Coturnix japonica: one gene and its partner. The protein of the gene in region 2 purifies or fractionates together with the protein of the main gene of each other region. This does not show direct contact. Links are inferred from orthologs where the notes say so. Each region holds a gene or a part of one and is shown on either strand. Other genes may lie near its edges. The genes, in order: FBXO45 and NMNAT2.

Region 1 (4,362 bases), on a different chromosome or scaffold from region 2:
GAAACCATCCGTCATCCATCCAAAGGTTTTCCCAGGTAGACCAAAGTCACTTCTGTGTTCCCGTACACGGCGGACACTGCCGGATACAGGCAAACTTTGGGCAGTCCTCTGAAGGCAACTCCCAAGAACTCATAGCCCCTCTCAAACGCTAACGTTTTGTCTTCCATGTCCAGGATAACTCGAATCCTTTCGCCTATCTGGAAACAGAGATGGGAAGAAGAGGGAGAAGAAACAAAAAAAGAGGAAAGAGTCAATATATTCAGATGGAAACACCAACAAAACAACCCAAAAACCAAAGCAAAATCCGTGGATAACACAGATCAGGTTAAAGCGAGGCTTTCCTCGGTGCTTTCACAACAGAGATGTCTCCATTCCTCTCGTATGGACCCCGTACATCTGCTGCCTGTTCCTGCAGGCAGCCCAGGCCTAAGCACCCTCCCAGCATCAGACACAGCCCATCAAAGTGGACCTTGCAGCAGCAGCACAAGCAAGAGCTCTGCTCCAGAACACAGCAGGAGCCTGAACATTTCCAATAGCCCCAAGTTACCAGGGCTCTGTTGCCAGCAGTGACCAGCAGAGCCTACAAAGAGCAACGTTAGATGAGTTGTTTTAAAGGTAAAAGCCAGGTGTGGAGTATCCCCAGAACACATTCTGATGGCACAAGCTGACGGCGGTGCTCCCTTAGCAAGGCATAAAAAGAATTCAGTGCAAATCTTTGGCAAGATGGGTACACAAAACCTACAGTATAGATACACATGTGTGGGTAAAACCAACACCAAATGCAACAGGTTTGGGGCACGGTGCATGGGATGCTCCCCATGTTTATCCTGCACTTGCTGCTTTCAAATATAAACAGAAGGGAGAGGCACCAGCAGCAAATGCAGCATGAGATAGCACAAACTTGTGCTCCTCCACCAGACAACCGCAGCGCCAGGGATTCCTTCCAGCCAATATATTTTGCTTCTAACCAATGCTAACAAGTGCGTGTCTCCCTGCAGCGTGTCTCCTATGAGCAGGTGACCGTCTGTGTACAACTCTGTGATTCTACATCTTAGCAAATACAAATTGCTGATTCAAGCCCTCACCAGTTCTTAAGAAGGAAGCGCAGCTCAGCCTGCAGGCCCCATGGGAGCTCTCCTGGCTTTAAAACCTCTCCTCATCCTGCTGCACAGAAAGGCCCAGACAGGGGCAGCAGGAAGGGGCTGCCAATGGGCAGGGATGGAAAGGGCCAATTCTCTTTGATCCACATTTACTTCTCAATAGCAAAAATGGCAGATATCATTTCCAGACTGAGCTGAGTGCTCGGCAGTGAGCTTTTATATGGGATGTAGAAATATCAGCCTTGAGTTAATGCCAAGATCTTCACGTACAGCTGAAGCACAAGGCATTATTCATCCCAAACCGTGACGCTGTGAGATTGGAATTGAGCTGCAACACGGCTGAAGATGCAACGTGAGGAAAACCATCAGTCCAAAGGCAGCTGTGCAGGAACCAGAACAAAGATAAACACTCGCTGCGAGACACAACAGCGGAGCAGCACCTGTACTTTGATAACCCCAAATCAGCCACACGTCAGGGCCCAGCCAAAGGATGTCACCCATGGGAAGGAGCCCAGAGAGCCAGCAAGCAGCGCACGGCATAGGAGGGCCCTATGTCAGCACGGCCTGTGCTCACAGTGCATACAGCACAGGGGTGAAACACCCACCGTCAACAGACACTGCTGGGCCCTTTAATGCTCCTGAGAGCAGTGCCAGCTTTTGTTGCAGCGGGGGATGCGGTGTTCTAATAACACCCACACGTATTTGAGAAAGAAGGCAGAAACAAAGGAATCATGCACAGAGCAGTGTGGGTGCCCCATCCTCCTGCAGCCTGGAGGTGCTCAGGGCCGGGCTGGATGGGGCCTGTGCAGCCTGAGCCGGTGGGGGCAGCCAGCCCACGGCAGGGATTGGGAGCAGGGTTGCTGTAAGGCACCTTCCAACCCAACCACACAGGGGTTGTGTGAACAGCCGTGATACCTGTTAAGATAAAGATACCGGGGAGCGCAGGGAGGGCCGGCCGCCCGCTCACCTGGTACTTGGGCGCGTTGTTGCACTGCGGGAAGCTGCCGTTGACCTCCCCGTTGTGCAGCAAGTTATTGTCCACCAGGTTCCAGCCCCAGCTCTGGTCGTCGCTGCCCAGCAGGGCCACGTAGCCCTGGCACTGCATGGCCGCCCGCTTCGTGGCGATGCCGATGACGGCCACGGTGCCCAGCGGCCCTTCCCACCACACCTCCCAGGCGTGCCGGCCCTCGCTGAAGCCGATCTTGGTCCTGGCGCCGTCGGTGCTCTGGGCGATGGGGTTGCGGTGCAGAGTGAAGCCGTTCTTCTTGATGTACACGTTCCGGGAGCAGTCGTTGGTGCTGAAGGCGTGGTGGAAGGCACGGACCTAAGGCGGGGGGAGCCAACAGGGGGGTCAGGCCGCGGGGGGCGTCGCGGCCGCGCGGGGGGTTCGGGCTTGGCGCTCACCTTGCCCTTGTATGTGGGCACGTTGCAGAGGATGTCGGTGCGCAGCGCCTCCTCGGCCAGGCAGCGCGCGGCCAGGCTGCGCCACACCTCGCTGTTCTCGTCGCCGTGCAGGACGTGGTGCCACAGCTTGCACACCAGCGCGCAGCTCCGCAGCTCGCGCAGCTCCAGGTACGAGAACACCAGCTCCAGCACCCGGCCCGGCAGCCGCCACCCCGCTCCCCCCGCCGCCCCGCCGCCGGGCCCCGCCGCCATCGCCCCCCGCGCAGGGGGTTGGACCGGGGGGCAGTGGGGGGGCGGCGCCGCGGGAGCCGAGCGGCCCTTCCTGCCCTTCCTTCCCTTCTTCCCTTCCCGTCAGCGGGCGGTGCCGGTAGCGGCGGGTCGGTGCCCAGCGCTCCGCCCGCCCGGCCGAGGCCTCAAGGCGAGGGGGCGCGCGCCGCCATCACCGCCCGCCCCGAGCCGCCCGCCGCGCATGCGCCGAGCCGGCGTCCGCCCCGAGAGCGGCGTCCCCGCGCTGCCGGCCATCATGGCGGCCCGGTGGCACGGCGCGCACTGCGGCTCCGTGCTCTGCATCGCCGCCGGCACCGACGGGCCCGTGGCCTCGGGGGCCGAGCGCGGCGAGCTGGCGCTGTGGGGCCGGGACGGCGTGTCCGCGGGGCTGCTGCGCCTCAACCCCGCCGAGCACGACGTGGCGGCGCTGTCGTTCTCCCCGCGCCGCCCGCACCTCCTGTACGCCGCGCACGGCCCGGCCGTGGCGGTGCTGGACGTGCGGGCGCCGCGGGAGCCCGTGGAGCGGCTCCGCTTCAACGAGGACGAGATCGACTGCCTGGCCAGCAGCCACGACGGGACCCTCCTGGCCGCGGCGGACGATTCCGGGGCCGTCAAGGTGGTGGATCTGGACGGCAACAAAGTGATCCGCTCCCTGCGGCACCACAACATCTGCTCCTCCGTCGCCTTCCGGCCGCAGAGGCCGCGCAGCCTCGTGTCGTGCGGGCTGGACATGCAGGTGACTTTGTAATGGGGGCAGGTGGCTCCGGGCTGCGCGCTGCTCCACCCGGGTCAGGGCGTGGGGCCCAGCTGCGGCGCGGGGTCGTGCCGAGCTTCATTCATCGCAGCGTGGATGTGGTCGGCACGGGGCAATGCAGGGGCAGCGCGGAGCAGCCGTGCCCGCAGCAGCGCTGTCCCACCGTGTGGAGCCTGCACTTACACCGAGTGAATGGCTGCGGGCAGAGCTGCCTGAGGAAAACAAAGTGCCCAAGGCAGAGCAGATGGCAGCCAGAGTGCTGAACGCACACACAGAACTACCTGGCTGCTCTGAGCGTGTTACTGAGCTCACCCCCTGCAGAATTCCGTGCTGAATGTTCTTTGCCTTTTACACTTCTCTGCCTTGTCCCCGTGTGTCACACCCTGTCGGTGCCCCCTCCCCAGCACAGCTCCATGCCGTTCCCTCGGGCCCTGTCGCTGTCACACCGAGCTGAGCTCAGCGCTGCCCATCTGCTCCCTATGAGCTGCAGCTGCCACGAGGCCTCCGCTCAGCTCCTGTGCTCTGGGCCGGACACCCCCCCACCCCCCAGGACTTCCCTTCCCGTGGTTGAGGTCTGACCACGTTCCTGTTTTAGCCCGAGATGCAAACTGTCACTTGTACAAAGGTCTCTGTGGTTCAGGCGGTGTTAGGGGAACTACAGCTGGTGTTCTTTGAAGTGAAATGGGTAAATGACAGATTCCTTTGATCTTTTCCAAGGTTATGCTGTGGAACCTGCAGAAGGCTCGTCCCCTGTGGACCGTAAACCTGCAGGAGTGTGGAACAGAGGAAGACAGTCTGCAGTCAGCCGGGCAGCTCTTTAACCCGCCACTTGCACAT
Region 2 (3,222 bases):
GTGGCATGGCAACTTCAACCCTTCCCTCCCCCCAACCCCCTTTTTTATATTCCAAAAGACGTTTGAAGTTCATTTCTCTTTCAGCAAATCCCACTGTTTAAAATCAGAGGTTCCAAGATCCACACGCACCCAGGAGCTGCCTCACACCCCAGCAGTGCTGGAAAGTCCCTTCCTCACCTCCCCACCATCTGCATGGATCTCAGAGGATGAGTTTTTCCATACCCACCCATAGATGTTTTCCAAACCAATCCCAGCGTTGACTGACCTGTAACAAACCCCCCCCCCCCCCACCCTGTCCTTGCCCCGTTCTGAGTTTTGCTGAGCAGATACATGAAGGCATAGATAGGACTAGTAAGACAATATACTCATCATCCCTATCACAACACTATGTCTCTAAGGCATGCCATCCTAACCATGATGAGATGGAAAGCCAGCTGGCTTCCTGCACATCCCATCTTGTGTACCTGAGGGAGGGAGGAGAAGGGCTTCTGAGGTTGCTCTCAGACTTGCCGACCTCTCTCCTTCTTCATCTCCTCTTTTGTTACTGTCTTTTCCTCTCTTAAAAGCCACCATCCTTCCTTCCTCTTCAGCTTCTTCACCTTTCCCAGAGGTTCCAATCCTTTTTTGTGTGTGTGTGTGTGTGTGTGTGTGTGTTGGAGGCTGGTTTCTAACACTGCTGCTTTTACTCCAGCTTGGAGCTAAGAAACATGGGTGATGACTGAGGATGTTTTCGGGGATGACCTCTGTGTTGGGGTGGAAAGGAAAAACAGGCTGAAACCCTGAACATGGAGGATAGCAGAGGCAATGGATTTAGAGGAGTCTAGCTATCAGCTTATGTAGGTTGGGTGCTCATGAATGAGATGCCCAGCTGGAACCTGTTGAAACATTAGCCTGGGGGTTCAGCAGGATGGGGGCTTATCCCTGGAGGTGTTCCTGCACACTCTGTCCGCCCTCCCTGGTCTGGGATCTCCATGCCCCCTCATCCCTCAAGGTACGTACACAACTGCCTGGAAACAGCATGGCTGGATCTGAGAGATTCAGCACATTTGCTGCTAAGACATCGCATGTGCTGACTGTGTCATTTTTGCCCAGCGTTTCTGCTGTTAGGGAGGTGACTTCTCTGGGAGGGGGCTGTGGCACAGGGGACAGCAGTGCCCAGCAGGTCACCAACCTTAATGCAAAGCCTCATCTTTGAAGTTTCCAAAGAGCAGTTTGTGACTTGGTAGATGTCTGGGAGCTATAGACACTAAGAGATATGAAGCTGGAAGGAGTAAAGGGAGGGAGAAAAGGATGGAGGAAAGCAAGACTTGTACCTTCCTCTCTGTGGCTGTCATCTTTCAAGAGGCTGAGCCAGCAGGACCAGCAGGGTCCTTGCACCCTGGGATACCCAGTAGGACAGCAGCCTGCTTAAGTAACCCTCATCTCTGCAGGACTGGAATTATTCCCTTTTGCTCCATGCTCCATGCCTTATTTTTTGGCATCTGGCTGAGCGGGTTCTACCAGGCATGTCACAAGCAGGAAAGCAGGAAACTGGCTTGTCTCAAGGGATGTGTGAAGTACCTGAAGCCAGTTTGGAAGGGCAAATACATCATGCATAAACTTCTCAAGGACAGGAAGAGGGAAGGAGAGAAAGGAAAAATGGGAATTTTACAGCCAGCATTGGAGAGCTGGAGGCTTGATGATGAGGACGGACCCAGTCCCAAACAGCTCGGCCAGGCCTGGGGCAATTCTCATCAGTGGCTCTGGGCCACCTCCTCCCCTCTTCTTCCTCCCTTGCTTCTTGTTGTTGTAAATGGCAGATCCCTTTCTAGGTGCTGTAGGCTGCCTCTTCTGACATGGGGCTGGAGTACAGCATCTATCCTTGGCTTTGGGGTGGACTGGATTCACTTGCAGACAAGAAGAAGTGAGACATTCCCCTGGTAAGTTTTGCTCTGGCAGTAGTCCTTGCCCCTTCAGAAATACCATCTTCATGACTTGTCAGGGCTAAGTGGAGGATTTTGTTGGCTGGGTTGTCCTTACTGCTGGCCTGAAGAGGTTCTGCAGGACACAGAACCACTTGCATTATGCTTGCCCACTGCCCGCCAGGATTCAATGGGAAGCAGGGCACCGTGGCAAGAGAGCTAAGGAGCTTGTACTACAGCTATTTAATTTTTTTAAAAAAAAGGAAAAAAAAAAAAAAAAGAAAAGAAAAAAATCAGCTAGATTTGTTGAGCAAAGAGGAAGCCCCTGTTCTGAGCATGCGGGGAGGATGGACTAGGAGGACCATTTCCCAGTCACATGCCAGGAGTGAGGGGTGGAGGTGCCCCTCAGTGAGCACACTGAGCACATCTCTGCCCCCCTCCTTCCCCGTATACAACAGGGAGGACAGTTCCCATAAAATAAAAAAAAATAGAGACCAAACCATTCCACGTGGGGCCGTGCTGCCGGTCCCTGGATGTTGCTGCACTACGGAGCGTCAGTGCTGAGAGTGAGAGGCCATGGGATGGGGAGAGAGATGGAGACGCAGAAAGAGAGAGAAAAGTGTGGTGGAGAGCTGTAGGGACACGGGATGACAGGGCTGTTCTGCTGCACGGCCTGTGGCACTTAGCCAGAGGCATTGATGTAGAGCTGGCTCTTGAGGATGTAGTCAATGACAGGCTGGCAGAGGTAATCCACAACGTGTCCATCCCCGTGCTGCAGGGCCAGTCTAGGGGAGAAGGGGAAGAGGAGGGTCAGAACCCATGTGGGGGTTGGTCGGCCCCTTTCCAGGAATTAGGGCTTCTTGAGCAGGGGCTGGGAACAAAGTGGTGTCCCCATGAATGGAGAGGTTGGCAGGGGGCACCCTGAGCATCACCCACCTGCTTTTGGTGGAGCTGACGACCGACATGGGGTGGTTCGAGTCGTCCTTCACCACCAGGATGTTGTTCTGCGGGTGGAAAAAGAAGAGATGAGCAAAGGGAGGGATGAAAATCAGTGTTTGCCCCACCTGTGTCTGGTTGGCCATGGAGGTCTGCTGCCTGGTGGCCACATTCGTGATCCCAGTTAGCAGCTGAGGCAAAAATAAGGGGGGAACTCTCCAGGTCCCATGTCCAGTGTGATGTTGATGGGTCTGGGGGGACACTTTGAGGCCCTCAAGACAGTTTAATCTCATGGACAGGGTGTAGCAAACGGTGACAGTGAGAGCTACAAAGACAGTATGGAGTCTGGAGAGCAAGATTATGGGGAGCAGCTGAGGTGCTGTGG

What was found.
Region 1: the proteins of NMNAT2 (region 2) and FBXO45 purify together in Homo sapiens (co-immunoprecipitation; 3 studies listed by BioGRID and IntAct, with this or other methods). This does not show direct contact. The link is inferred for Coturnix japonica from reciprocal best matches to the Homo sapiens genes NMNAT2 and FBXO45.

What each region holds. Positions count from the first base shown.
Region 1 is NC_029524.1:3,579,787-3,584,148, forward strand, and holds the start of FBXO45 (F-box/SPRY domain-containing protein 1), read right to left. Parts: upstream 2,964-4,362; 5' UTR 2,757-2,963; coding exon 2,505-2,756; intron 2,425-2,504; coding exon 2,068-2,424; intron 198-2,067; coding exon 12-197; 3' UTR 1-11. Other genes in the region: WDR53 (WD repeat-containing protein 53), read left to right, coding at 3,028-3,507, 4,243-4,362. UniProt on the Homo sapiens protein: Component of E3 ubiquitin ligase complex consisting of FBXO45, MYCBP2 and SKP1. Functions in substrate recognition but also plays an important role in assembly of the complex.
Region 2 is NC_029523.1:4,385,731-4,388,952, reverse strand, and holds the end of NMNAT2 (nicotinamide/nicotinic acid mononucleotide adenylyltransferase 2), read right to left. Parts: intron 2,906-3,222; coding exon 2,838-2,905; intron 2,687-2,837; coding exon 2,584-2,686; 3' UTR 638-2,583; downstream 1-637.